Linked DNA regions of Macaca mulatta. The protein of the gene in region 2 interacts with the protein of the main gene of each other region in a pairwise test. Links are inferred from orthologs where the notes say so. Each region holds a gene or a part of one and is shown on either strand. Other genes may lie near its edges.

Region 1 (4,194 bases), on a different chromosome or scaffold from region 2:
TCTCATCATTCTTTATGTCTTACCTTGTGCTCACCATCTCCATAAAATCTCCAAGGACTATTCTAAATGTGTATGGCACAGACTACGCATGAAATAATTCAGTATGTAATTACACTGTTACACATCAGAAAACTATGACCAGAAGCATTTGTCTGTCCATGTCTGGCATAAATGCTGCAGTTCTCAATCTGGGCAAAGAAACTAAGAGTCAATTAGTGAAGTGTTATTCTAGTTCAGGCAGTCCTAGAAAACCAAGTAAACAATCTAGCACCATGACTGGTTAATGCTGCTGCACTGATATTTAGGGCTCCTGCACTTTTTAATCATTAAAGTTTCTGCATCAGTCATGAAATCAAGCACAGTCAAAAAATCATGATCTGTGGTTTTCTTTTTAATTATCTTTAGTCTTGCGATCACACATTTTAAAATTTGTGTATATCTCCGCTACTTTAATCCTTTTAAGTTGGCAAAAGCACCATTCCCAATCACAAATACACAGTTCTACAGTTTTATGTTTCTGAATGGCTGTTTAAAGACAATCCTAAATTATAACTTAGTTTGACTTAGATTGTAAAGAATTCAAGAGTGAAGTTTAACTTGCTACTATTTTAAAAGCATGTGACCTTATAGATTTGTAAGATGTGAGAAGTGTTGAATAATCTTTAATATTACACATAAACCATACTAAAATGCTCTTCAATAAGTAAAAGGAACCATTTTAAATACAGGGAATTATAATTAGATTGGCATCGTTAAGGCCAAAACTCTAGACATTGCTACCTTATTTATCTTCAACCCTTGCCTTTAAGAGGCAAATGAACACAAAACACAGGTGAATCTTGCTTAGTTCTGAGACAGTGAAGGAATTTCCCCAGTATTTAAATATATTCACATAACCAGCTATATAAATCTAAATATAAAACCAATCTCCAGTAAGTTTTAAGATGGCACTCACCATCTTTGCGAAAAGTTGAACATTACTAACAAAGTCTAATCATATCTTTAGAAGGGGTAAACAGTGATAGCATTTACTGAATTGGAATTACTATTAAAATTCAAAAACGGAACATATTCATTTAACCACAAGCCAGTCTTAGTTTTAAATCAGGACTGCCCAACAAAATATTCTGTCAGTCATTCATGATCTGAATTCTGGTGTATGAGATCTATTAAAGTATGGTACACATAAAAAAGTCATGAGACATTTGTTTTGTAATAAATAAGGCAGTGGCCAATTATTACTCATTAGTAGCTTTTTTGAGATAAGCTATCAAGTCTGCCCTTTCTTCCTTCTTCTTAATGCCGACAAAGATCATTTTTGTTCCAGGGATGTACTTCTTGGGATTCTCCAAATACTCCATCAGTGTATCCTCTCCCCAGGTGATGCCTAAACAAGAAAGAATGCATCGGTTAAGTATTTCACACTCCTCATAGTGTGTCACAGGTGATATTCGTGCGTTTTGTACTGTTTTATTTAACAAGTGGCTCTTACCTTTGTTCTTATTGGCGGCTGTGTAAGAGTATCCAGGGGCCTGACCTGTCTTCCGCCCGAAGAGACCATGGAGATTTGGCCCAGTCTTGTGCTTGCCTCCCTTTTCAACGGTGTGGCACTGGGAACACTTCATAATAAAAATCTTCTTGCCTTTCTCAACATCACCCATATTTAATTCTAAAAACGAAAGCCCCAACTTAGTAATTTTTCCTCAGGTAACAAATACAGTGTAAATGAATGACCACTCTAGCCACTTAATTACCAATCCATTGGTAATTTATGTCATTAAATACCAGAATTAATCTTGTATTGCTTTAATACTCTTTATACCAAATACTCTTTAATACCAAAAACATTTTTTAGGAGCACCTCCTCAAAAACCTATTTTCGTGTGTACACGTGAAGGAACGTTAAAGCCCAAGCAAGCAAAGAGGGAACCTAATTCAAACTCCAGTTTCAGAAGAGAAAATCATGGTCACTAAGCCACAGATCTGACGCTGAAGGGCGATCACATTAAGCCAAAATCACCACAATTTCAATTTTTAAGAAGGCCTAGTCATTTAATCTTACTACCATGTAAAGCTACCTCTTCCTGAGGATATTGCAAAGCACACAAATATTTAAAAAGCGGTACTGGCTGTTTCTACCTGCCCAGGTCACAGAAGTAGCCTGACACTCGAACTTGTAAATGGGAACGCAGGGGCAGGCTGCACGGTCCCCGCAGGACATCCCCACTCTCCTACCTGTGATCCCCCGGGGCGAACATGAGGTCACCCATCCAGGTCGGTTTCAAGGTGACTGATGAAACTGTTTCTAGGATGTCAGAACGACTGACGGAAGAAACGTGCCCACGTAAAGAAATGGCCCCTTATTAGAAGAGCAACAGCTTTTGCCCTCTGAAGGAGAACGTGAAGTGCTAAGCTTCGGCTTTCCGGGTGGGAAGTCTTGCCTATCATTTCCATAGCCCCTCAGCAACCACTACGAAAGGGGCCGCGTCTTCCTCGGATCTGTATCTAAGCCTCCTCTAGTCCCTGACTGAGACCATACCTGTCCCTAGTTAGGGCCGCCGCACCTCAAGCGGTTACTCGCCCGGTTCGGTCTGACCACAGTCCCGGGTCCTCACTCCCGGCCCTCCCACGCAGCGCGGGCTCCACTCGGAGGCTCCACGCCTGGGTCTCGGTCGCTCGCGAGTGCGCGCCGCCCACAGCTCTGCCTCTAACCAGGTGCGGCTTCCGCGACCCGCTCTCACCTGTTTTTAGTCGCTGGCGCAACGAATATTCCCGCTCCAAAGCAGGACGTCCCCACTCTCTAAGTCCAAGGACACGCCGGTTCGCGCTTAAGTACCGGTGTAAGTGCAACCAAACTCGCTCCGCGCTCCCGCGCCCTGACGTGCGGCCGAGCTGGCGGCTACGCAGTAACGTCGCCGCACCTCATTGGCTCTAGTCCCAATGCCTGCGCAAAGGACCTGCGCGCGCATGCAGGCGAGCATGTTAGGGTGTGCGGCGTGCGTGCCCTTCCTCTCGAGGCCTTTCTTGCCCGGCCGTTACGACAGGCCTTTGGTCGTACGACAACGAGGTGGTGTCGGGAGGGGTGATGTCACCCGCGGGCCTCTGTGCGCTTGCGTGTGCTGGAGGAACGGGGAGGGTGGGGCGGAGTCGCCTTGTTGGCGCGTTGCCCTGCTAAAGTATCAGTTCTTGGGCGTGGTGATGTAATGATCTTTGAGCAGGGCGTTCTGCCCGTCCAGGAAAAGACGCCTTAGTTTTGGCGCACCTAGAGGTCTCCTAGCTACCATCTTGTCAGCTGGCGACCTTTACCCAGACTCTGTCCTGCTCCCTTGGCTGGCGCCAGCAGCATCCTAGAGGGACAGCCTGGAACCAGGAGTTACACGAGTTGGGCAGCAGCTCGTGACCTTGTTCTAGTTCCACCTCTACTCCGTTACTTTCAGTCATCTTCCAGCTCTCCGCTTGATGGACGCCCCAAGACTGAGGAACGTGCTGCATTTGCGGCAGAACAGGATTATCCCTCTGACCCCTTACCTGTCAGCGTCTTTTCTGCTAACGCCCTCCTCCCCCTCGCGTTCGTGTGCCGAAAGAACACAGAATGTGTGCTGGCAACATCTAGGAAGAAACATTTTTAGATGATTAGAGAATTATTGGAAATCTAGAGGATTTGCATCCCTTCTTACCTAGGTAAAGGTCATGTTCAAGTAAACTTAATGCAGTTAAGATCATATTGGAAATAAAGGCGTTAATACCCAGCTTTTAGTTATCATAGCCATCCTTTAAAACTAGATCCCCTTCCTGACATGCCTAGTTCTGTCACTGGTTTTCTTGACTCCTTTACCCCTCAAATTCTGGTCCCAAGTTCTGATTAATTTTTCCATCTTTCTTGTTTTTTTTGTTTGTTTGTTTGTTTTTTCTTCTCTCTCCTTGTATTCTGTCTGGCACTGCCGTATTAAGTCAGGTGTTTATTGGCCGGGCGAGGTGGTTCACGCCTGTAATCCCAGCACTTTGGGAGGCCGAGGCGGGTGTATCACTGAGGTCAGGGGTTCGAGACCCGCCTGACCAACATGACGAAACCCCGTGTCTACTAAAAATACAAAAATTAGCCGTGCGTTGTGGCGCGCGCCTATAATTCCAGCTACTCAGGAGGCTGAGACAGGAGAATCGCTTGAACCTGGGAGGCAGAGGCTGCAGTGAGCC
Region 2 (4,258 bases):
CATGGGCCTCCAGATCAGATTTGCACAGGGTCAGCTCATCCAGGATCCCATGCAGGCCACTGATGTCTGCCTCTAATAGCTGGCGAAAGGACAGTTCACTCTCGTACCTTTCACGGCAAAAGAGAAATCCAATGCTTACTTTGCTGAACGCTGTGCAAAGTGTGGGGATACGTGGAGGATCGACACATGGACTTCAGGAAGCCACATGCATAATTTCTCTTAATTCCTAAGTAATGATAAATTCAAGCTTTTAAAACATTCTTGACTTTAAAATATTATATAGAGAATATTTGTGGGTGGGTGTGTGTGTGAGAGAGAGAGAGATTAAGAGAGAGAGAGAGAGCGAGCCATAAATTATTTTCAAATTAAAATTAAGGCGGGGTGTGGTGGCTCATGCCTGTAATCCCAGCACTTTGGGAGGCCGAGGCAGGTGGATCACCTGAGGTCAGGAGTTCAAGACCAGCCTGATCCACATGGTGAAACCCCATCTCTACTGAAAATACAAAAATTAGCTGGGTGCGGGTGGCGGCGCACGCCTGCCTGTAATCCCGGCTACTCAGGAGGCTGAGGCAGGAGAATCGCTTGAACCCAGGAAGCAGAGGTTGCAGTGAGCCGAGATAGTGCCATTGCACTCTAGCCTGGGCGACAAGAGTGAAACTCCTCAAAATAAGTAAATTAAATTAAATTAAATTAAATTAAATTAAACTTACTTTGACTTAAAGTCATCAGTGGCCAGTTTGCAGTTGTCAAGCTGTACAGCAAGTCTAGAATTCTCTGCTTTCGTGCATAAGATCTGGGAAGCAAGCCATTATGTGACAAATGATTCTTTGAGAGAAACCTAAATAAACTTCTATCCAACAGCTATGCCATTAGTTATCTTTTGAAAGTCTTTATAAGAAAGTATAAAATCACCCTCAGCCTGCTTTTCTTATTGACCTTGTCGCTTCATGAAGAAAAAAGCAGTGCCAATTTAGAAGCAAAATAGAGAAATAAAAAGGTTTAGTTTTTTAATAACATAAGACACTTTGCAACATCCCTAGGCAGTTGAACACCATTAACGTTTTCTCCATCAGTAGTTTGTATTATGACTCTATCCTCTCCCATAATAATAGAAATTCATCAAGGAGACAAGCAAATGATTACTAGGTGGTTAAAAAGATGGCATTTGACGATTTGTGTTCAGATAATATAAATGTTCAGTGTCAAATACAAAAGCGATTTTGGATGTAATACAGTTTTTCTGCATTCTATAGATGATGAAGGAAAAGCCTAAGGGCGAGTTACTTTATTATAGTCACTCAGTTATCAGGGGTAGTTCTGGCGCTGGTGCTGAGGTTTTCTGACTTTCAGTCCAGTGGTCTCCCCTATGTACCATTAATCCTGGAATTCCCCTTTCCCTTGGTTGCCTTCTGGAAAACCGTCCCTCTGGTAGAAAGATAAAGCAAGTCATAGATCCGGAAGGTGGAGCACTAGGGCAACAGGACACACACCTTTTGTTGGAGATCTTCAATGGTGTTGAAGTAACACTGATAATCCGGGCACACCATTGGGATATCCTGTTCACATTGTTCTTGGATCCTGGATTCCAGCTCTGCGTTGGTCTCCTCCAGGCTGCGCACCTTCTCCAGATAGTTGGCAAGTCTGTCATTCAGGAACTGCATCGTCTCCTTCTCATTGCTAGTGAACACCCCATCCTCACACCAGGCACAGTTCCCCACCAAGCAGGGACTGTTACAACTCCCAGTAAAGTAGCATGGCAGGAGGCAACCGGTCAGCCCGCGAGACCTGGATAGGAAGCTTGGAGTCTGACATCGGGATGTAGCACAGGCACCGGGGAGACAAGCTGTTTCTATGCAACAGCTTGAGGCAGGTGCACAACCGGAGGCCGTGGTACAGGATTCAGGAGAGCAGTGTGTGGAGGAACAGTCAGAAGTCATCCTTCCAGAAGCAAAGACAGAGGCTGGCTGCAAAACTTCAGTTGCCTTGACTCCAAAACTCTCCTTCCCTCCTGAGAGTTTTATAACGCCCCAAAATGGGTGTTTACAGACTGCACCGGATGTTTTCTTTATCACTGATGGTGCCAGTTTTCATACAAACATCTCATTAGAGTTGTTTATTTACTGAGGAAGAGTTTTATGCCTCATAAAAGAGGGATAACTTTAGGTTACCGAAGCAGGACCTACACCATTTCCATGTGCCAGACAAAACACTTATTTCAGAAAATTGTCATAGGAAACATTGTCCTTTTGACAGAATAAGAAAAGAAAGAGAAAATTTGGCCAATCAATAATTATAGATACAACTCATTACAAATCAGGAAAATAACATGTCCACAGATTTTGATTCTGTGCATTGATTGCTTGGGTCCCCTTTTAAAATTAGTATTACAGCTCATAAAATGACATTTATTTGTTTGTGCCACACCATAAAAATGGTCAGTGTGATTAGCAATCTTTCAATGCTTTTTGTGTTCTCAGAGTATGTGCTGACAAGACTGGAGGAGTGAGCTATATATTAGACTTAATGTGTGTGTGTGTGTTTGTGTGTGTGTATACAAACATGTCTACCTGCGTACAAATGGAAAAGTCACTTTACGTAACTGATAGGAATAACTTGTTTTTCTGCAGGCTAAAATATAAATTGGTTAGAGCTGGAATTATGATCTTTGATTTTCTGAAACTTGCCTTCTCCCCATTTCTCATTTCTTGTTATTAGATAAGTTATACTATTTTACGTGTATTTCTAATGAGAGTGAAATATAAATTGTAAGTTATAACCTTTTAGTCCCTTGGGAATTCCTCAATGATTATACTTCAGAGTAGGGACAAGGAACCCACAGGAGTCTTTTCTTCTGAGATGTACAGCCTGTTTTCTCCTATTTATTTATTTATGAAGGCCTGAATTTCATGAAAATTAATAATGCTGGAACTTGCAAAATAAAATTTTATTTAGGTTCCAAATCAGTGATTCCACTGGATGAAATCTCTGGTGCCAAATCTGACAGATAGGAACTTGAGATGTGTAACTTTTTTGGATTCTGTCTTGGATTTCAGCTCCATTATGAAGCATAATCTGTTTCACTTTGCTTGGTTTTAGTCGTTATGTTTATTTCATTTTCAAAGGTGCATAGAGAAAATTGCCTGTAGAATTTTTGAGAACATTATAGGAAAAGAAAACACAGTAATCTGAAAAAGTTAAAAATTTTTTGATCCAGAATAAACTTATTTTTTCCCCTAATCCTGAGGGCTACTTCCTGGGTAGCTGATAATAGAAACCAAACCAGAAGAACATATGTAAGTGAGTTAAAATAGTCTCTGAGGATTTATTACTCCCTGGGCAGAGTTAGGTTTGAATTTAGTGATTCTCTTTACACATCAACACTTATGCAAAAAGTTCTTAGAGTGTCTCATGGTATATTGACGCTGCTCTGCAACAAATATGAGTTCAAGGATTCAAAAACACTTCTGAAAAATTACAAATCTCTGAAAGAAAATTATCTTTTCACAGTAACCTAATGAGTCAAAAGAAAAGTATCTTTGAAGAAAACCCACGTTTTGGTTGTCCATCACAGGTTCCAGTTAGCTAAAGCGCAGTCATGTAACTGCAGGTAAAATAAGAAATATTTCCTTTTGTCTGGAACTAATTTCTAATTGTAAAGTATTGGTTACTAGTTAGTGTCCTGCAGGGTAGGACTATTTGTTTTGTTCTTGATTAATTAGGTAGTGTTGTATAATAATGATCTATAGCTATAGTCTCCATCGTAGAATATGGAAATCACCCAGAATTCATTTCTGTGGAGTCCTCCTTAGGGAAGAGAAGTCAGGCTGGCAGGACCAGAGGAAAGCAAAAAAATAAAAATAAAAAATAAAAAATAAAAAAAAGAAAGAAAGCAGATACGCTATAAGATTCATCTTCTTCATCATGGTCCAGGACACATAACCCTCCTGCACAATATTTCTGCACCCAGCTATCACCAGACTTTCAGCTGATAGAAAAATGCAACTTAGCTCACTGCAACCTTTGTGTTATCAGTACTGCACAAACCCTCTTCAGCACACAGCACAAGCACCATGCTGTAAAATCTCCAGCACACCTTTTCCTCCTTGCAGACAGCCCCTTCTCTGCTGTGCTGCCCATTGCTTCCTTGCAACGTATTTTCATACTTTCTCTAATAAATCTGCCTTTCTTTACCTACAACTATGTTGATAAATTCTTTTTACCCCCATGCCGCCAGCCCCAGATAGTCGCTAATCACCCG
Region 3 (4,374 bases), on a different chromosome or scaffold from region 2:
GGAGTCTCGCCCTGTCAGGCTGGAGTGTAATGGCATGATCTCGGCTCACTGCAACCTCCATCTCCCGGGTTCAAGCAGTTCCCTGCTGTAGCCTCGCGTGTAGCTGGGATTACAGGAGCCTGCCACCACACCCGGCTAATTTTTGTATTTTTAGTAGAGGTGGGGTTTCACCATCTTGGCCAGGCTAGGCTCGAACTCCTGACCTTGTGATCCACCAGCCTCAGCCTCCCAAAGTGCTGGGATTACAGGCGTGAGCCACTGCCCCCAGCCTCAGATCCATTTTTGAGACAGAACTAGTATCCCTCAGCTTCCAAATCCTACTTGCTAACTAGACACGGTACCCTTCCTGCTCACCAAATGAGACATATTTGAAACAGAGCTGTTTTCCCTCATGATTCAACCTGTCCTTTCTCAACATAAAAAATGCAGGAACCAAATACATTCAGAGAAACTGTCTGAACTCTCACCATACAAATGCAAGAACTGAATGGATTTAGAAACATTTTTGAGATACGACTGGTATCCCTCATTCTTGAACTTTCGTTACTCTCCAGGCAAAATGCAGGAACCTTTACATAACAGGGTACCCTCACTATCCCAACTCTTGTCCCTGGAGCTCAGGAAAGTTCATAGATTTGGATATATTTTTGAGTTAAAGTCATTATTCTTCATTATCTCAATTTTCCCCACTCACTATGTAAGATGTGAAAACAAAATACCTTCAGATAACTTGGTAGGTTTCACTGTCTGAACTTCGGGCGCTCTCCCTCTCAGAATTCAGGTACCAAATAGATTGGGACAGTGAGGAATGCTTGTGTTGTTATCAATAGGTTTGGATAGATATTCAGGATAAATAAGATAGGTCTGGCATCTTGTTATTCAAACTCACTAGTCTCTGTGAGAAATGCAGGAACGAAACCTAATTGAGTAACACATTACCCTCTAGCCATCCAAGTTCTCCCCATCACCCTCAGAATCAAGGAGATTCGGACAATGAGGGGAACCCTGCATTATTGTTGTTACTGTTACTACTGGACAGGCCTGATTCTTACATCCAGTGACTGCCTGGCCTTCTCTCCCACAGACAAGCCCCACAGAGGTGGGGTGGACTTAGCACCAAGATTTTTATTGCTTACTGCTGAGAGGAGGAGGATGAATCCTTGACCCCATCCCTCCTCTATACCAAGTCCTGAAGCCTTGGCCTAGAATAGACTTCTTCTCTTTCAGGCCAGGAAAACAGGGATCATGCACCCAGAATCAAGACCAGGGAATAGGGGTAACATGGCCTAGAAGATTCATACATACCCCAGCATCCCCCATCTCTTCATATTTTCTCAACTCTTCCCCACAACGTGAGGCAGTCCCCAACACAGCAAGGCTGGAAACATGACCCAGACCTCTCAGACTCCCAGAGAGTCACTGAATAATTTAGGGTATTCTTTCACACTTGCAGAGGGCAGCAGCGTAGAACAGTTGCATGCCCTCCTGGGGCAGGAAGAGAAATGTAAGCTCTATGTGAGATCACTAGGGTGGGGGTAGGGGAGATCACACACAAAAACCCCCATCAGCCACGCAGGGTGCATAGGGCTGCTTGCTCTTGCTAAGAGAAGCATTTGGGACGTACTTCAGAGGTCCTGGTAACAGCAGAATCTTCAAGTTCCGGGCACAGTATAATGGGACCCCTGTCCTGGGCTCAGAAGGGATGGCAAGTGGATATTAGGAAAGAAGAAGATCTGAACAGGGTGGAGGGGCATGGTAAGGGGGAGAACAGCCTGGGGCTGGGATGGGAAGGGACAGAACAAGAAGGAGCGTAGGGGACAAGATAGAACCAGTGTTATTGCAGGATGGAGGTCAAGAGGCAGGATGGGGAATGAGCCAGGACACTGGCCAGGGGATGGGATAAGGTAGGGTTCAGGACAAGGGTCAGAGAAAAAGTACAAGAAAGAGACAAAACAGCAGGGCAGACATGACTAGGAAAGGCTAAGCCAGTGGTCAAATGAGGGGACAGGGAAAAGGGCAGGTTCAGGATGGAGGTCAGGAACAGGAAAAGACCAGGACACAATGAGGATAGGAATGAGTATGGTGATAGAAAAGAGGGAAAAACAGGACAGAGTCAGGGGCAGGGACAAGGCAGGAGACGGGGGGTATTTAAAGGTGGTGAGCCAGGATGCAGATCACGAATATATAGGAGAGGATATCATATAGGGTGCAGAGAAAGGACAGAAGTTAGAGGGCAGGAATCAGGACAGAACTAGACCAGATTGGGGTTAGGGGGACAGGACATGACTGGTAGAGGTTCAGAGACTGGATAAGAGTTTAGGGAACAGACAAGTCAAGGGTCAGGACAGAAACCGGGGTCAGTGTTGGGCATTAGGATAGGGCAAGATGTTTCAGAGATGAGACGGGGTCGGGCAAAGATCAGGGTCAGGTCAAAGATCCCCAGGACAGAACTGAATGGGGTCTAGGGTCAGGACTGGATTTAGGGGGAACAAAACAGGGGTTGAGGATCATACCAGGCCAGAATATGGTTAGGTCAGGGCTCTGACGTAAGGTACTGAGGCCAAGGCCAACAGGGGTTGAGGTTTAAAAAAGATGTAGTCAGGTCGGAAGGGGTCAGGGCTGAGGCCACGGGGTCAGAGGTCGCGGGTGCGCGCGCAGGTACGCCCCGTCGGCGTTTCCAGGCCTTCACCCCACCCTGTCCCCTCCCTTCCTCCGCAGGCGGGGCTGGTTACTCACCAAGGGTCCCAGCGCAGCGGTAGGCGGGGTCGGTGTCGGCCGGCCAGGGTAGTGGGCGCGCCCCTCCCTCACTGCGCCCTGCTCGTCCCCGGGCGCGCGTCTGCTCCCCTTCCGCGCCCTGCCCGTGGGCCGTGTTTGGCTGCGCGACCGTTAGCCGTGGGGACCAAACGGGGGTCGCGGGGAGGGTGGGAGGGGAGTGCCGGCCCGGCCGCGGGCGACGGACCCCCGCCCCCACCTCTAACTCGGGTCTGTCGGCTTCCAGCGGCACGGCCACCTCCGCCGCTCAGCCGAGCCTAGGGGGTGGGGGGACCAGGGGGCGGGGCGCGAGACCACAGCAGCGGCGGAGACGAAGTGCGCAGGCGCCGGCTCGGGTCTTGGATTTTTCTTGCTCCGGGAGCGCCAGGAGCGAACAAGCTGGGAGCGCGTGCGCACACTCTTTCTCGAGGGCGGTGGAGCCCTCCCTCGCCGAGGCCACGCCCCCTCAGGGAGCCTACTGGCGCCCCTCACCCCAAGTCGTCCCCTAGGGACCCGCAAGCAGTACTCCAAGCTGCTCTCTGTAAGTTATCCCCACACCTCTAAACCCCAGCTACCCTCCCTATTGTCCCTCAAATGCACTCCAAACCAACCTCCATTATCCTCCAAATTATATCCCCAAACTACTGTCTGTTGATTCCAAGCGGTACCTCCAGTCCACCCTCTATGGACACCCAAGCTGTAGCAGTAAACTACCTTACACTACCCCCAGTTTGCTCCACCAAACCATCTGCAATCAGCCCTGAAACCATTACCCTCCAAACATAATGTCCAAATCACCTGCTATCTACTTCCAATGCGCACCCGTAACACCCTCCATTGACCCCAAACCCCTCTCCATGAACCCTCCAAGCCATATTCCATTGACTCAAAATGGCTCTCCAGGAGACCCCAACACCAGTCCAAACATTCCTAATTACCCTGAACGTGGGCCTCACCTGCACCACAAAATAATTCCAACAGTCACCCACATTACCTCCAAACCATGTTCCATGGACCCCTCTGAGCCAGCCACCTTTCATTGACCTCCCCTCATATCCCCACAAAATTACCTTCCAACAGCCCCTATCACTGTGCCATGTAACCCAACTACACTTTCTGTGGTCTTTTTTTTTTTTTTTTTTTTTTTTGAGACGGAGTCTCGCTCTGTCGCCCAGGCTGGAGTGCAGTGGCGCGATCTCGGCTCACTGCAAGCTCCGCCTCCCGGGTTCACGCCATTCTCCTGCCTCAGCCTCCCGAGTAGCTGGGACTACAGGCGCCGCCACCTCGCCCGGCTAATTTTCTTGTATTTTTAGTAGAGACGGGGTTTCACCGTGTTAGCCAGGATGGTCTCGATCTCCTGACCTCGTGATCCACCCGTCTCGGCCTCCCAAAGTGCTGGGATTACAGGCTTGAGCCACCGCGCCCGGCCTCTGTGGTCTTTCAACTGCATTTCAAGCCACCCTCCAGCACCCTCTACACCTCTAACCCACACTCCACTGACCCAAACTGCACCTTAAACCACTCTCCAACAGTCCTCAACTGTACCTCCAAATAGCCACCAACCATCCTGCTGTAGTTACCCAATTGGGCCCCCAAATCATACTCCAGTGGCCCCAAATGTGT
Region 4 (4,141 bases), on a different chromosome or scaffold from region 2:
TATGCTGAAGTCCCAGTATCAGCATCTCAGAATGTACTCCTATTTGGAGATAAGTGCATATTCAGAGATAAAGGGGTGATTAAGTTAAAATGAGTCCTTTAGGGTGGGATGCTAATCCAATATGACTGGTGTCCTCATGACAGGAGGAAGAAGCAGCAAGGGTGTGCCTGCACAGAAAGCAATGAAGAGGCAGCAAGACAGCCATCTGCAAACCATGGAGACAGGCCACAAGACAAGCCAACACTGCTGGTACTTTGATCTTGGACTTCCAGCCTCGAGAACTGTGAGAAAATACATTTCTGTTGTTTAAACCACCCAGTCTGTGGTATTTTGCTATGGCAGTCCTAGCAAACTAATACATCATCCTCAATATTCTTCCTCCTCTCCTTAGTTATGAAGAGAACTCCTAATTTTTAGCTGGGTACATGGCTGCCTACATTACAGACTACATTTTCTAGCTTCCCTTGCAGCTATAGTCAGTCATGTGATTACATTTTAGCCAATAGGAGGTAAGAAGAAATGTCAAGTGTGCCTTCAGGTAAATGTCTTTAAACGGAAAAGTCATGACCTTCTTTTTCCTGCATCCTTTTTGCTGGCTGGAAGGTGGACCTGATAACCGAAGCTTAAGCAGCTTGTGTGGCTCAGAAGGCAGAAGTCACATGCCAAGGATAGATACAGTGTGAGATACAGAATGAGCCACCTTACCACCTCTTCACAGACCATTTCTGAGCTTTCTATGCAAGACATAAATAAACTTGCAGTTTAGTTAGGCCACAATTTTGCAAGTTTACTGTCACCCTTAGTCACACTTAACCCTAACTGATACTGTTAGTTTCTCTTTCTACCTCCTCCTTTTCTACCCTTTCCTCTCTCCTGAAAGGAGAAAGCTCTCTTCACTGACAAGAGCCTCAGGCAGAGTGGATTAACCTAGTAAAAGTTAACAGGAAATGTTGATTATAAGTGACCTCCTGCTAGATTAACCAGGCAGAAAGTAGACAGGTAAAACTGTTACCCATTTTCCTTCTATTCTAAGTCCAATCCCCACTCCTGTCCTAATTAACTATTTAACTTCTTCCAGATGACACTGCTCAAAACCTCCAGTGCTCACAGAAGGAAATCCAAACTTCGAAGCTTGGCACTCAGAGCCCTTCACAATCTAGCCATAATCTACCTCTGCAATTTTTTTAACACTAAAAGCAATACTAAAACCAAAGCAGAATATTTATTGTTTGACCCACACACTGCAGGGATGCCAGCTCCCTGCCTTTACCCATGATGTTTCCCTTCTAGATGCTTTTCTGGTGCCATGACCTAGGGTCTGAAGACAATTGAATTTAAGGCCCAGCTTCATTGCTTCCAAGTGATGTTAACTTGGTTACTGCATCTGTAAAGTGGGAATAATACACTGCCTCACATGCGGGTTCTGAAGTCAGACACAGACTGCATGACATTTGGTCTTGCAAACCATGAAACACTACAGTCTCATAAGGCATGACTGTCCTGAATCTGGCATTAGGGTGCATCTTGGTGCTGGTGTCTCTTGGTTCTGAAGCTGCTAGGTAAGCCCCTTGACCTCAATCTCTAATTCTCATTGAGCCAGCACACTACTAAATGCTTTCCATGCATAACCCCATTCAATCCTTACAAGAGTCTCATGAAACCTGCATTATTATTAACATTCCCACTTTATAGATGAGGAAACAGACCCTGATTTCAACTCAGTTCTGACTTCCCAGTCTAAGCCTCTAGCCTTCCACATAACTCCTCAAGGGCAGAAGCTGTATCCTTCCTTACTTTGTAACTGCCCGTTGAGGATAAGAATTATTATGTGTTCTCTGGATGGGAACCATTCATATCAAAATGCCCCCCACCCCATGCCCGGTGCCCAGTAATTGAGTGGATAACTACTGATCTCTCCAGGGCAGTGTTTCCCGAACAGCGGCCTGGGGACCCCCTGCATCGAATCCCTCTGGGCGCTTGGGTCTTCCAATGCCTCACCTGCTAAATCTTTGTTTCTGAGATGGTGTCTGGTATCTGCCTGTGTAGGAAGCTCCAGAGTGACTTTTTAATTGATATTGAAGTTTGAAAACCACAGTGAGTCCATGAAGATTGCACCACAGATGCCACTCAGAGAGAGTAGTAGCACCTGAGGCCTCCCTTCCCCCAGCCACCACTTCCGCCCCTGAGCTCCAGGCAGAGGCCTCTGGGAGTTTAGATGGCTGAGGCTGACAAAGCTAGCTTCTGGGTTACCCTCAGACCACCTGACGGGAGCCTTTTTCCCCAGAGGCTCTTAGGGGCTGAGTAGAGAACCCCACCGTCCAGCCCCATCCCCCAAGCTTGAGCTGCCCTCTGGATGCCCTGCCAAATCGGGAGTCACCTGACCCAGAAGGAACAGACAGGGGAAGCAGGCAGATGGGTGTCGCTTTGGAGGGGGTGGAAGTATGCATGGTGGGCAGGCCAAGGCTGAGCCTGAGGAGAGTGGAGCTCCCTCTATAAGGCCAAGTCTCCCATGCGGCGAGTTGGGGCACTCCTGGGGACGATGAGTCTGGCGAGAAGAGCTGAGTCGTCAAGCTCAAGTCTTGACCCTATCTCGGAAATGCCTCAGGTTCCCTCGGCAGGCGAGAGGGCGAGGGCTGTGCTTAGCGCGCGGGGTGGGGTCCCGCCGTCCTCTCCCCGAGCCTCGGCTTTTCCGCCCCGGGGCCCCGCGGCAGGCTACGCCCTCTGACCTGCAGGCGGCGCGCCCTGCCCACCCCGCGCGGTCAGCCCCGCAGCATCCTCCTGCTCGCGCCTCTCCCGCCACCTGTCCCGCTCCCTGCCGCGCCCTGGAGCCCGCACCTACCCACGCCGTGCCGCTCCTTGTCAGCTTTACGCCAGGGGGCCATGACTGAGCCGGGGCCTCGCCTCCTCCCGTGGGGAAGCCGGCAGGGGGTAGCTGGGCGCCGCAGGGCCCCACTTCCTTCCTCTTTTCAAACTCCTCTCAGGGCCCGCCCTCTCCTCCCTCCCCGGGGCTCCCCGCTCCCTCCTCCCTCCCGTTGGGCAGGGGCACACTAGAAGGCTGGTGCCCCGTAGGCTGGGATACGCCACCCCACCCCACTTCACGCAAAGCTTGGGGACCACTCCCACCTTGTCTCCTCCCCAGGCGAGGGGGGCAGAGGCCAGTCCCCACCTGGGGCTCCCCAGACCGCCACCGCAAGTGCAGAGAGTTTTCTGATTGCCGTGCCTAGGGGACTGAACAAACCATTTCCTTAAGTCCCCTCAGCGTGAGCTTTGGTGTCAGATCTGGGTTCGAATCCAGACGGGGACAAATGAATTCATTTTTCTAAGCTTCAGTTTTCTCATCTGTGAAATGGGATACTAGTACCTACTTCATATGATTATTCTAAGGGTTACAGAGGCAATGTACACAGCAGGTGACATGGAGGTGGATCGTTTACAGCCGCCTTTTTTTTTTTTTTTTTTTTTTTTGAGATGGAGTTTCTCTCTTGCTGCCCAGTCTGGAGTGCAAACACGATCCCGGCTCACCGCGACCTCCGCCTCCCGAGTTCGAGTGACTCCTCAGCCTCCCGAGTAGCTGGGATTACAGGGTTGCACCACCACGCCCGGCTAACTTTGCATTTTCAGTAGAAATGGGGTTTCTCCATGTTGGTCAGGCTGGTCTCGAACTCCCGACCTCAGGTGATCTGCCAGCCTCAGACTCCCAAAGTGCTGGGATTACAGGCATGAGCCACCGCGCCTGACCCATTTACAGCTTTTTATCGTTTTGGTGCCACAAACCCGTTGGAAAATCTGGTGTAAGCTCTAGAAGTTTTATTCTGAAAATACGTAAATACACTATTTACCAACATCACTGCAAGGTGAAGGGTGCTGTCACAGCCAGCAACGGTGGGCCCCAGGAAAAGAGCCCTAGAGTTAGGCTAATGGAGACATTTCCTCGAAAAATCTCATTTTTTGCTCTGGGAACAGATTCTGTCCAGAAAAAAAATCATGTCTGATCCACAGTGATAAGGCTGAATTTAAGTTTTGCTGAGTTTTCTTTCTTTATTCATGACTCTCATTACCCCTTTCTGCCTTACACTGAGAGTCATTAAGATACATAGGCAGTATCACAGCTGAACTGGAGTGACAAAAAATTATTTCGTTT
Region 5 (4,166 bases), on a different chromosome or scaffold from region 2:
AGGTGTGGTGGTGTATGCCTATAGCCCCAGCTACTCAGGAGGCTGAGGCATGAAGCTCGCTTGAGCCTAGGAGGTCGAGGCTGCAGGTGAGTCGTGATCACGCGCCACTGCACTCCAGCCTGGGAAACAGAGCAAGACCCTGTCTCAAAAATAAATATTTAGGCCAGGCGCGGTGGCTCACACTTGTAATCCCAGCACTTTGGGAGGCCGAGACGGTTGGATCTCAAGAGTTCGAGACCAGCCTGGCCAACATGGTGAAACCCCATCTCTACTAAAACTACAAAAATTAGCCTTGGGTAAGTGGCAGGGGCCTGCAATCCCAGCTACCCGGGTGGCCGAGACAGGAGAATCGCTTGAGCCCAGGAGGTGGAGGTTGCAGTAAGCTGAGATCGCCCTATTGCAATTCAGCCTGGGCTATAAGAATGAAACTCCGTCGCAAACAAAAACAAAAACAAAAACAAACTAAATTTAAAGTGCAATTTCTTCTCGTTTTTCCAGTTTTACGAAAAACCCCAAAGGAGGGCAGCTAAGGTGGATACTGATGCCTACCACGCACCCTAAGAGTAGGTAAAGGGAAAAAAATGAAATCCACGTGGGACTGCGAGTAGTTCGCCGTTTCCCGACGACGCACACAATGCGCTTAGGTATACTTCGCGCAGAGGTCTCTGCAGAGAGGAAAGCCACCGTGAGAAGAGCGGGGAGCCCCCAGGCAAGAGGGCAGTGGCTTGTGTGTAGTGAACTGAAATGCGACACCACGGAACTGCAACAGGAGTCTCCTTTCCACTTGAAATGTGACTCAAAGCGAGGCACCTACCCTTGGCGCTCCCTGGACAGTGCGGCACGGTCGGGCCCACTAACCAAGGCAATTTGCGCCCGACCGAATCAGGTGCTCCAAAATCCCCCCTGGTGAGCCGCGCGTTAGCCACACAGAAAACAGTCAACGCAGAAGGAGCGAGAACGCTCGGCCGAGAAGCCTGGCCCAGAGAGGGGAGGGGTGCGGAAAGCCGCGGACGGCAGCCGCTGGCCTGCAGGACTCCCTCAGGCCGCCCCACCCCGCCCCGCCAGGGACAGCGCAGAGCCGAGCGGCTGGACCCCAATCCTGCCGGCCGCCGCCGAGCTCCGCAGCCCGCAGCCCCACACCCACTGCTCCGCCACACCCCAACCGTTCAACTTGGCCCGTACACGCCCGGCGTCCCCGGCTCCCAGGCCGGTGCCGATGACGTCACACCTACGCTAGGCGTGACGCCACGGCTGGGAGGAGCGAGGACGGCGCCAGAGGGCGTTTCCGGAGCACGCGTCGGGCGGGGGCCGGTGACGTCGGGCTCAGGTGCGCGCGCCCGCCCGCGCGGCCCAGTTGGCGGCCCGCACTCCAGGTGGCGGCCGTTGTCGGTGAGGGGACGGCTGGCGTTGAGCGGTCCCGACGGCGTTGGGGTCTGCAGCCAGGGGCGCGGCGGGAGGGCGTCTGGGCCTGCGCTCACGTGACGGGTGGGGAGGTTGGTGTAGGGGCGGCGAACCGGGTGGGTCCGGGCTCAGGAGCGCGAGGCTGACTGTCCGGCCCCACCCCTTGCGGGCCAACCCGTCGCCGCGCGGAAGGAACCTTCCCTCGGGCAGGGGCCGGCCCCGCCGCGCACTTCCCGCGCCCGCTCGCCGCTGACCGGAGTTGTCTCTTCCTCCGCAGGGCCGCGGCCAGAGGGCGAGAGTCCGCGCCTTCCGAGGGAGCCGCGCCCTGCGGGCCCCACCGTACCCAAGGGGATGGAGGGCTGCCCCCGAGGCCCCCGCGCGGCTCGCGGTCCCACGCCTGCCGGCCCGCGCTAGCTGCTCGACTCGTGCGCGTTATCCGCCACCCAGGCCTTGTCTCCCGAGTCAGTGGCGTCGTGGTTCGAAAGAAATGGAAGAAAAGGAGCGATGTGACCGATGCTGTTCGGTCCTCCTGCTTTGAGGCCTGGCATTTGCAGAGGGAAACAGCAAGAAAATCGTGGGGAGTTTTGAGGGGGGTGGGAGGGAAGGGTGGGGAAACGGAAACAAGGTCTTACATTTTATGGGTTTTTTTTTTTTTTTTTTAATTCTGCAATTTGACAGTGGTAGCAAAATGAAAGTAATCCAAAAGTTATTTTTCTCTTGAGAAGAGAAAAGAGGTGGGTTTTTTTTTTCCTTTTGATTCCAGTCTTTTCTCCCAGTGACAAAGCATAAATCATGGACACCAGAGAATAAGGTGAACCTCAGGAACCCGGAAAAGACTGAGAAGGTTACATTCTTCTTCTGGAGGGAAGAGTAGGGTGTTTATAGCCATCTCTGGAACCTAAAACAAAAAACATGAGTTGTGTGCCATGGAAAGGAGACAAGGCCAAATCTGAATCATTGGAGCTGCCCCAGGCAGCACCCCCACAAATCTACCATGAGAAACAGCGCAGGGAGCTTTGTGCCCTCCACGCCCTCAATAACGTCTTCCAGGACAGCAATGCCTTCACCCGGGATACGCTGCAAGAGATTTTCCAGAGGTAGGGGACCCTTCTCCTTGGCATCTTGATACTTACTGATATTTTTGGATTTCTGTGGGTGGGATAATGTCTCAAGTTTCATAAACCTTTAAATCTATAGGTATTAGCTAGATGTCATTAGCAGGTATCAGGGACACAAGACAGGAAAAGATAATCACTACTATGTATCGGGCACTCACTGTGGGCTAGGAAAGTGCTCATATTCTCGGCTGTGTTTTCTCGAGTGATCTGCTCAACAATCCCATGGAATACGTGTTAATACGTGGTGTTATTTCCATTTTACTGATGAAGACACATTTAGTTCCGTACTTTGCTCAAGGTAACAAGACTTGGAGCTGGGGTTGAATTCTTACATCTATGCTGTTGACCACTATGCTAAATGCCTCTAAAGTTCTGCTGCCGAGGAGTTTACAGTCTAGAAGTGGGACCCGATACGTACACGTTCAGTCGCCTGTCATCAAAGGTGGAATGTGGTGACTACCACAAGCAAGAGGTATACACAATGCTCAGCTTTTCTGTGAGCCATGTGCTGGCAGTGGCGCTGTTCGTACATTGCTTTGTGTAGCCCTCCTAACAGTCATTTCACTGCCTGTATTTTACTGATAGAAAGGTCAGGTAATATGTCCAAATAGCTTCTAAATAGCAAAGTTATAATTTGAAGTTGACTCCAGATCGCCTCTTTCTCCTTTATTCTAGATGGCCTTTCTTATCCATTTAGAACAAATGCCACCCCACGGGTTAGTAGAGGTTCAGCTTTTGGCCAAGCACGGTATAATCCCAGCACTTTAGGAGGCTGAGGAGGGCGGATCACCTGAGTTCAGGAGTTTGAGACCAGCCTGGCCAACATGGTGAAACCTCGTCTCTACTAAAAATACAAAAATTAAGTCGGGTGTGGTGGTGCACACTTGTCCCAGCTAGTCGGGAGGCTGAGGCAGGAGAATCGTGTGAACTCGGGAAGTGGAGGTTGCAGTTAGCCGAGATTGTGCCACTGCACTCCAGCCTGGGTGACAGGTCTCAGAAAAAAAAAAAAAAAAAAAAAACTCAGCTTTTTTCTCTTTGCTTTGATTTTCTAGAATTACTTTAAAGGTTTTGAGAGTCAGTTCTGTGGTGTCTTGATGGACACAACAGCATATCTGCAGTCCATAGCAACTCAGATGGTGATCTTGCCTGATGACCCCAACTAGAAAGGGTTAGGCCCACACAGTCCTCACTGAAGAGGAGCTCAAGCGTTCTTCAAGCAGTACATATTGACAATTCCAGAAGACCTTTTTCTTACTCTCTTAGCTTGGAAATGAAATTATTGCCACATAGGGACCAGAATTACAGCTGGTAGCAACCTATTTGGGGTGATTTGTAAAACACAGGTATGGACCATTTGTCCTGAAAGAGCCAGAGGCTTACTCTTAGAAGAATGTTAATCCCCAGATGCAGACAAAACTATAATGAGAGTAATTATTTTCCAATGCCAGTAGTAACCAGAGTAATGCCTTACCAGGGTAAATATGTTATTTGCATCATGGCCATTATCTGGCAGCAAGTAGAATTGACTCTTCAGGACCTGGGGCACTGGGAGGTAAGATAATTTGTCTCAGATCATCAGGTCATGTCACTGAAAGGAGAACCCAGTACATTGGACTGCTTCCTTTTGGCCAGCCGTTAGTATTTCTC
Region 6 (3,709 bases), on a different chromosome or scaffold from region 2:
AACCAAATGGGCTCTCTTTTCCCAGGACTGGCCCTTGCCCCACAGATGATCATGGGCCCACAGTAAAGTGTGGACATGTGTGAACACAGGTATTGCTTGTTTATTCAATGGAGGTGTGGCCGTGGATCCCTAAGTTGTCTTTGGAGGTGGTGAATACAGGCCGTCTCATCCTTCTCATGCACTGAATGTGCCCTACTGTACCCTGAGGAGGGGGCAGGGAGAGGCAAATGCCTGATCCAGCCGCTTGTCTCCACAGGCGACCACCCCTACGAGTGTGAGTTCTGTGGCAGCTGCTTCCGGGATGAGAGCACACTCAAGAGCCACAAACGCATCCACACGGGTGAGAAACCCTATGAGTGCAATGGCTGTGGCAAGAAGTTCAGCCTCAAGCATCAGCTGGAGACGCACTATAGGGTGCACACAGGTACTGAAGGCCAGGGAGGGGTCTGAGCTGGCTCTGGGACCTGGGTGGAGGTGGGAAGCAGATGGTCTCCTGGAGAAGCCTAAGTGAGGATGATCCCAGGCTGAATCAAAGAGTAGAAGAGGTTCTATTAAGGGCTGGTATGATGACCTGAGGGCCACCACACCCCAGTCAAGGTGGCCTGAGGGCCACCAGTCAAGGCCAAGGCAGACATTACTAATCAATCCCAGCACACTTTCCAATGAGCCCCCACCAGCTCTCCAGGCAGTTATACCAATAGTTCAGAGGTGACATGCAAAATGATGTCTGTATATGAGTCCTAAATTAGGGGTAAGTTGGTCCAGTTAGCTGGAAGCGAAGGTTAGGTCCAGTTAACATGAAGCGAATTTCATGTTACTCAAGGGTTACAGTAAGAATTAGGATGCATTGAATCAGGTTATGATGGAAGTTGGGAAATTGTAAAGTTAGATTGTGTTTGGTTCTGAGATTAGAAGAGCAGATATATTTAATAATCCCTATATGCATATGATGTTTTACCATTTCAGAGTGCCTTCACATTTTTTTTTTTTAGACAGAGTTTCGCTCTTGTTGCCCAGGCTGGAGTGCAGTGGCATGATCTCAGCTCACTGCAATCTCTGCCTCCTGGGTTCAAGCAGTTCTCCTGCCTCAGCCTCCCGATTACCTGGGATTACAGGCGTGTGCCACCATGCCCGGCTAATTTTGTATTTTTTTTTTAGCAGAGACGGGTTTGCCATGTTGGTCAATCTGGTCTCGAACTCCTGACCTCAAGTGATTCACCCGTCTCGGCCTCCAAAGTGCTGGGATTACAGGCATGAGCCACCATGCCCGGCCACATTATTGTTTGTATTGGAAAAAGAAATGTGGGCCACTGCTTTTCCTGAGGTCAGAAGACAAAAGAAGTGAAGGGTCTTCCACAGTGTCCGAGGTTGGGGGCAGTGGAGTATTGGAGCTTGCTTGTGAAAGCTAATTTTTCACATTTCTTCACAACTTCAAGTTCAGCGACATCACCTTAGTTGCTTAAAATTGGCCCTGGTAGGAGTATTCACATCATAGCAATCAGCAGATGCTACAAACCAGGGCTTTTTAGAAAGCCAGTTGTTAAACATTTACCACCAGCACATTGCTGGTTGTGGGGAAGGCTGATTTACAGAAGGGTAAGAGGTGGTGGCACATGGAAAACAAAGAAACCCCTCTGATCGGGGGGGACAGCTGTCCTGTCCAGAGGAAGGGGGAGAGGTGGCTTCAGGCAGGTCCTGCTGGCTTAGAGGAGAGTACATTGCCTTTGGAGGGGAAGGGTGGACAGAAGGAGCAGTAAGCAGAGCTACGTGTTGTCAGAGCTCAGTTTTCGTGCCCCAGTTTGAGCCCCCAAGGACAGGGTTGGGTGTCCATTGCTGACACCTATAGTGACCCAGAGGATTTCCCAGAGCCCTGGGGTTTCCTTAGCCCCTTGTCGGGGATGTGACCTGGCAGGTGGATCATTAACTGTATTGGCAGTGACTATTGTAAATAGCTGGTCGATGGTTAGATCACTTTGGCTGTTCATTACTTCATTATTTGCTGGGGCCTGTGCACGGAGGAGTATTGATAGCGAGATGGCTGGCCAGTTAATTACTGTATTGAAACAAGGTTCCCTCACATCCTCTGCTCAGCTCTAGGGGACTCTATGGAAGGAAAGTTGGGGTATAGAAGGCTAGGGTGTGGCTGTGTACTCCCAGGTTCTTTATCCTTCCCATCCCACCCCACCCCCAATTCTAGCCTCAGGAGGGAGGCAGGGTCCAGGGCAAAGTCTTAGCAGTTTTAGCAGGATAGGCCGGGTGCGGTGGCTCATGCCTATAATCCCAGGACTTTGGGAGGCCGAGGCAGGCAGATCACTTGAAGTCAGGAGTTCAAGCCCAGCCTAGCCAACATGGTGAAACCCTGTCTCTACTAAAAATACAAAAATTAGCCAGGCATGGTGGCAGCACCTGTGATCCCAGCTACTTGGGAGGCTGAGGCAGGAGAATCACTTGAACCCAGGAGGCAGAGGTTGCAGTGAGCTGAGATCGTACCACTGCATTCCAGCCTGGGCAACACAGTGAGACACCATCTCAAAAAAAAAAAGGCTTTAGCTGGATAGAGGTTCCCAGGTGCGGCATATTTGAAGGACTGGGTTCCCTCAGTTTTCCCCCACCCCTGCTCCCCACCATCTGTAGCCCTGAAAGGTCTCGATCCACCTGCTCCCTGGATGGAACTGCGGCTCGAAGAGCCATTCCTGAGGACCGTGGGGCCTTTCTCTTTCTAGACACTCATTTTCTTAATTAGAAAGGGAAAAGACTGTGGCCTTAGGAGAGTTAAGAATAGTAAGACAAGGAACTGGGCAATCCAGTAGTCAACTAGCTACATGTAGCTATTTAAATTAGTTACAATGAAATAAAATCAGAAAACTGTAGAGCTCCAGTCGCACCAGCCTCGTTCATAGCCATGTGTGACTGGTGGCTGCCGTCTTGGGTGGTGCCTTCATTGTCCCAGAAAGTTCTGTTGGAACAAGCCCAGCAGGAGGAACCCAGCTTCCCTGGCACACCTGAGGGTGACATGGTGCCCTCACCGCCCTCTGTCCTCACTTTCTCCTGCCCTGTCCCTCTGCCCTCAGGTGAGAAGCCCTTTGAGTGTAAGCTGTGCCACCAGCGCTCCCGGGACTACTCGGCCATGATCAAGCACCTGAGAACGCACAACGGCGCCTCGCCCTACCAGTGCACCATCTGCACAGAGTACTGCCCCAGCCTCTCCTCCATGCAGAAGCACATGAAGGGCCACAAGCCCGAGGAGATCCCGCCCGACTGGAGGATAGAGAAGACGTACCTCTACCTGTGCTACGTGTGAAGGGAGGCCCGCGGCGGTGGAGCCGAGCGGGGAGCCAGGAAAGAAGAGTTGGATCGAGATGAAGGAAGGACTATGAAAAATAAAAAAGGAAAAGAAAAAAAAAAAAGAGAAGGAAAAGGAAACCTGATAGCTTTTTGGCCTTGGATTCTCTCTGGGCTCCAGATGACCTGGATGCCAAGCCACTGCCCCTCCTCTGGGGGCCTCCACCCTCCTCTCCCGGCTGGAGGTTTGCCTGATTTTCTGGGATGGGGTGGGGTATTTTGTTCACTCAAATGGTGGCACATTTTTCTCCTGCCTTCACCCAGATCTTCCTTTATGTGTCCAGAAATGGAGGCTAGAAAGCAGGTGAGAGGTCCTCTGATCAGAGCCACACAGTCTCTGCCGGCCTTGCTCCCGCAAGACCTCCAG
Region 7 (4,171 bases), about 57 Mb from region 2:
TCCCAGAACTTTGGAAGGCTGAGGCTGGTGGATTGCCTAAGGTCAGGAGTTCGAGACCAGTTTGGCCAACATAGTGAAACCCCATCTCTACTAAAAATACAAAAAATTAGCTGGGCGTGGTGGCGGGCGCCTGTAATCCCAGCTACTCGGGAGTCTGAGGTGGGAGAATCGCTTGAACCCGGGAGGCGGAGGTTGCAGTGAGCCGAGATCGTCAGGCTGCACTCCAACGTGGGCAACAAGAGCGAAATTCTGTCTCAAAAACAAACAAACAAATGCCACCAATATACGAATTTGGGCATTACATTTCCAACATGTGAAATTTGAGGGACACATTCAAACCACAGCAGAGGGTCAAATCAGTTAATAAACTGCAACACCAGTACCTGTGCATACTAAGGGCCATATACACGTTAATCATTATCATCATCCTTTCGTTGGAAATCACTGAGGCCAAAGGAGTGGGTGAGACCGCCCAGAAACGAAGAGGGCTGAAGACAGTCTTTCAAGAAGTCAGCATCTCAGGCTCTTGTGCCGGAGAGGAAACAAAGAAACCAGCCAGGGGACTGGGCAGCACAGCTCTGAGGTCACCGAAAGGAGAAGGATGAACTTCTATAATGGCTGATTGTGTTTGGATGCTAAGGAGAGGAGAGGCAGGCATTCCGCTGAGAGAGGGAGGGATGCGTGGGGCAAGGCGGGGACGGGGAGCTGGTGTAGGCGGGAGGAGGGCAGACGAGTACTCTGGTCTATCCCCGCTTCCAGGACGCATCTTCTGGGAGGGGGGCGCGGAGCATGGATGGCGAGTATGGGGAACTCAGAGAGGGACAGTGTCTTGTCACAGGAAGGGAGGGTCAGGAGGGAAATTTGAAAGGAAACGTCTCTGGGAACCCAGGGCTCCGCACTGCCAGGCCCTGGCTCCTTCGGACAAAACCACTGAGCAAGAAAGAAAAGCCAGACCCCTTGGCAGGATGGACAGGGTCCCTGCCCACTGCGGGGTCTGAGGCCTGAGGCCTGAGCCAGGAGGCCTAGATCCCAGGACCTCCGCCTCCACCCCATGGATCAGAGCAGCCTCAACCCCGTGCGCGCTCCAGGGAGGGGACCCGGCGTGCGATGCGCGGGGGCTGGGCGGGCAAGGGCGGTGGCCCGGGCGGGACGCATAACACAAAGCCCGGAGCCACGAGGCTGGCGGCAGGGAGGGGGCCGGAGAGATGAATGGGGACGGCCGGGCCAATCCGAGCGCAGCATTTACAGCTGCGACAGAGAAAGCCAATCGGATCCCTGGGGCGGGGACGGGGGCGGGGACAGAACCAATCAGCTGTGAGGACGGGGCCTGGGGCGGAGCCGCGCAGAGTTTCAAACCGGCTGTGGTGGGCGAGGAGCAGCTGTGCTGGGCGTGTGATCCGCGTTGGTGCTGTCGGGTGAGTGCGGGCGGGGCACAACAAATTTCGTTCTTGTTCCCCAGGCTGGGTGCAATGGCGCGATCTCGGCTCAAAACAATTTTTTTTGTTCAGAGGGGAGGGCATTGGGTTCGGACACGCACGGCCTGTGGAGGCGTCTGGGTACTACAAGCGTCGGATCAAAATCAGGGCGTCTGGTGGGAAGGCCGGGATCTGCGTGGGGGCGCGTTTGGTCTGGGCGAGCTGGTGAAGGAGATGGTGATCGTGTCCTGGGCCCAGCGCTGAAGCTCGGCTACGGCGTGTCTTGACCCCGCCTCCCCTCCACGCCTGAGCCAGAGAGAGGAAGGAGGTTGGGATGAAAAGACAGCTGTTTTGGAAACTTGAAGTGCGGGACAGCAGAAATGCTGCTGACCCGAGACCTCTCTTCCAGGAAGCATCCTCCTTCCCGCACCCACACTTGCCAACTCGCCCGCTCCCCGCTCGCCCTCGCCACCCCGCTGCATCCCATCTCTTCCCCTGTGTCCAGGGTCTCTGTGGGGCCTGGAAATGGGGATGGGGAATGCCTTGCTGACCTGCTTTTTTGCCCTCCTCCCCAGGGTCTAGTGGACAGAGAAGACTCTTGGCCAGACAAATGGCTTCTCGGTGGCAGAGCATGGGGACCTCTGTGCGCCGGAGATCTCTCCGGCACCAGGAGCAGCTGGAGGACAGCAAGGAGCTGCAGCCTGTGGCCAGCCATCAGGAGACCTCTGCAGGGGCCCTGGGGTCTCTGTGCAGGCAGTTCCAAAGGAGGCTGCCCCTGAGAGCCGTCAACCTCAACCTCTGCACAGGCCCCTCCTGGAAACGCCTGGAAACCCCAGAGCCAGGTCAGCAGGGCCTCCAGGCTGCAGCTCGCTCAGCTAAGAGCGCTTTGGGTGCCATGTCCCAGGTAATAGTGACAATACTAATCATCTTTTTTATGGAGTGTTTCCTTGGTGCCAGACAGTTCCTGCCCTCAAAGAGTCTCAAGAATATAGACTCCAAGAAGACAGGGATTTTGGTTAGTTCACTGCTGTTTCCCCCGCACCCCAAATAGTTCCTGGCACATATAGGCACTCAACAAATAGTTGAATGAGTTAGTGAAAACATGTCTTGGAGGAAACAGATGCTCACAATACCAGGTGATAAGAGCTGTACGTGATAGGAAATTGCAAGCAAGTGGCCAATAGCGAGGGCTCGCCAAACACAAACTTAGCCGGTGAAGGCTTCCCAGAGGAGATGATTCCAGAGTTCACCCAGGGAAGCAAAGGTCAAGGGGTATTTAGGGTAGGAGAAATAGTGCAAGTCCAGAGCCCCTCAGGTCCAAGCCTAGAGCTGAGGGAAAGCAAGGTGTACTGCCAACTCAGCCGTGTACCCCTGAGGAGAGCCAGAATTGTAGTCTGGGTATGAGCAGAGGACAGAGAGCAAGGTAGAGCCGGGAGAAAGGACATGAAGGAGCTTAGACTCTCCCAGGAATGATCAGGAGTCTGGAGGATTCTAAACAGTGGAAAGTCTGGTCTCATTAGCATATTAGAATTTGTCCTTTATCTACGTGATGGAGAACGGAATAGAAGCAGAGGTGCTCCTGAAGGAGACTAAGGATCTGGACTTGCAGAGGATAAACTTCAGGAGCTGCTGAGAAGGTCAGTTAGAGGGGATTTGCTGTCAAATGAGAGGTGCTGGCAGGAAGATGTCCTTATATTGGATGTAAGCGTCTATGGGCCCTTCAACCGATGCATCTTTAAACCCAGAGCTGGAGGTGTAGACGTGTCACTTAGAAAGGACAGAAGCCATTAGGATGAACAGACCTCCAGAGAGAGGACTGGGGGCTGCAGAGGTTTCTCCTCGGTGTCTCATTGGGAATTCTGAAGACGAGAGAATTCTCCAGAAAGAGAGTGGCTCTTTCTGGACCCTCTGCAGAGAGTTCTCTGAGCCAAATGTTAGTCTTTATTTGGAAGAACTTTTTGATTGTTTTCGCCACCCTCAGGGATCAGAGAAATGAAATGAATTTGTCCAAGGTCACGTAACTCATCAGATTTAACCTGGGCTGGGCTCCAACCCCTGGGCTCTGGCTTGCCAAGGCAAAGACAGTCGAGCTGATGAAGAAGAGCCTTCACAGCCGTCACCCAGCTGGTGTGAAAGGCCCAGGAGTTGGGGCTTGGTCCTATGTGCAACAAGAAGCCATAGAAGGGTTTCGAGCAGTTGAGTGTCACAGTCAGAACTGCCCTTTAGAAGGATCACTATGGACCACTGTAGAGGGTGGATAGAGTGAGTGAGACCCGAGGCAGGAAGACAGGCGCTCTCCTGGTGTGCAGGGGGTGCTGGGCGGGGGAGCCTGCTCTACTCTGGGCCCTCTCCTTCAGTCCTGGGGTCAATCTGTGTCTGGAAAGAGAGTTTGGACTTAGACAAACAGGCTCCAGGCACCAGGGGGATCCTCCTGCTGCTGACTGCTGCTGTCATATCCAGGAGCTCTGAGCTGGGTCCCTGCCGTGGACTCATTCTACGAGGAGTCAGTCACATCCTTCACCCTGGAGACTAAAACAGCCTGTATTTACAGGACACTTGGTGGGTCTAGGGATCGCTGGTAGGGTCTGGAGACCAGGGTAGTTTACCCTTGGGTTTTTTGTTGTTGCTTGTTTGTTTGCGAGACAGGGTCTCACTCAGTCGCCCAGGCTGGAGTTCAGTGGCACGATCTCGGCTCACTGCAACCTCCACCTCCCGGGTTCAAGTGATTCTCATGCCTCAGTCACCCAAGTAGCTGG

What was found.
Region 1: the proteins of KRT40 (region 2) and CYCS interact in binary tests that used the Homo sapiens proteins (3 or more experiments, as listed by UniProt). The two-hybrid records come from large-scale screens. The link is inferred for Macaca mulatta from reciprocal best matches to the Homo sapiens genes KRT40 and CYCS.
Region 3: the proteins of KRT40 (region 2) and CCDC120 interact in binary tests that used the Homo sapiens proteins (3 or more experiments, as listed by UniProt). The link is inferred for Macaca mulatta from reciprocal best matches to the Homo sapiens genes KRT40 and CCDC120.
Region 4: the proteins of KRT40 (region 2) and DOCK2 interact in binary tests that used the Homo sapiens proteins (3 or more experiments, as listed by UniProt). The two-hybrid records come from large-scale screens. The link is inferred for Macaca mulatta from reciprocal best matches to the Homo sapiens genes KRT40 and DOCK2.
Region 5: the proteins of KRT40 (region 2) and JOSD1 interact in binary tests that used the Homo sapiens proteins (3 or more experiments, as listed by UniProt). The two-hybrid records come from large-scale screens. The link is inferred for Macaca mulatta from reciprocal best matches to the Homo sapiens genes KRT40 and JOSD1.
Region 6: the proteins of KRT40 (region 2) and ZBTB16 interact in binary tests that used the Homo sapiens proteins (3 or more experiments, as listed by UniProt). The two-hybrid records come from large-scale screens. The link is inferred for Macaca mulatta from reciprocal best matches to the Homo sapiens genes KRT40 and ZBTB16.
Region 7: the proteins of KRT40 (region 2) and PIMREG interact in binary tests that used the Homo sapiens proteins (3 or more experiments, as listed by UniProt). The two-hybrid records come from large-scale screens. The link is inferred for Macaca mulatta from reciprocal best matches to the Homo sapiens genes KRT40 and PIMREG.

Annotation. Positions count from the first base shown.
Region 1 is NC_133408.1:103,267,967-103,272,160, reverse strand, and holds CYCS (cytochrome c), read right to left. Parts: upstream 2,803-4,194; 5' UTR 2,540-2,802; intron 1,670-2,539; 5' UTR 1,662-1,669; coding exon 1,493-1,661; intron 1,388-1,492; coding exon 1,239-1,387; 3' UTR 371-1,238; downstream 1-370. UniProt on the Homo sapiens protein: Electron carrier protein. The oxidized form of the cytochrome c heme group can accept an electron from the heme group of the cytochrome c1 subunit of cytochrome reductase.
Region 2 is NC_133421.1:65,365,410-65,369,667, forward strand, and holds the start of KRT40 (keratin, type I cytoskeletal 40), read right to left. Parts: upstream 2,962-4,258; 5' UTR 1,938-2,961; coding exon 1,491-1,937; intron 794-1,490; coding exon 711-793; intron 108-710; coding exon 1-107. UniProt on the Homo sapiens protein: May play a role in late hair differentiation.
Region 3 is NC_133426.1:49,132,188-49,136,561, reverse strand, and holds the start of CCDC120 (coiled-coil domain-containing protein 120), read right to left. Parts: upstream 2,877-4,374; 5' UTR 2,737-2,876; intron 1-2,736. UniProt on the Homo sapiens protein: Centriolar protein required for centriole subdistal appendage assembly and microtubule anchoring in interphase cells. Together with CCDC68, cooperate with subdistal appendage components ODF2, NIN and CEP170 for hierarchical subdistal appendage assembly.
Region 4 is NC_133411.1:178,525,973-178,530,113, reverse strand, and holds the start of DOCK2 (dedicator of cytokinesis protein 2), read right to left. Parts: upstream 2,944-4,141; 5' UTR 2,883-2,943; coding exon 2,840-2,882; intron 1-2,839. UniProt on the Homo sapiens protein: Involved in cytoskeletal rearrangements required for lymphocyte migration in response of chemokines. Activates RAC1 and RAC2, but not CDC42, by functioning as a guanine nucleotide exchange factor (GEF), which exchanges bound GDP for free GTP.
Region 5 is NC_133415.1:12,822,014-12,826,179, forward strand, and holds the start of JOSD1 (josephin-1), read left to right. Parts: upstream 1-1,352; 5' UTR 1,353-1,493; exon of another isoform or gene 1,494-1,678; 5' UTR 1,679-2,313; coding exon 2,314-2,498; exon of another isoform or gene 2,499-3,083; intron 3,084-3,487; exon of another isoform or gene 3,488-4,166.
Region 6 is NC_133419.1:114,996,967-115,000,675, forward strand, and holds the end of ZBTB16 (zinc finger and BTB domain-containing protein 16), read left to right. Parts: intron 1-256; coding exon 257-424; intron 425-3,071; coding exon 3,072-3,301; 3' UTR 3,302-3,370; downstream 3,371-3,709. UniProt on the Homo sapiens protein: Acts as a transcriptional repressor. Transcriptional repression may be mediated through recruitment of histone deacetylases to target promoters. May play a role in myeloid maturation and in the development and/or maintenance of other differentiated tissues.
Region 7 is NC_133421.1:7,925,244-7,929,414, forward strand, and holds the start of PIMREG (protein PIMREG), read left to right. Parts: upstream 1-1,331; 5' UTR 1,332-1,415; intron 1,416-1,990; 5' UTR 1,991-2,025; coding exon 2,026-2,319; intron 2,320-4,171. UniProt on the Homo sapiens protein: During mitosis, may play a role in the control of metaphase-to-anaphase transition.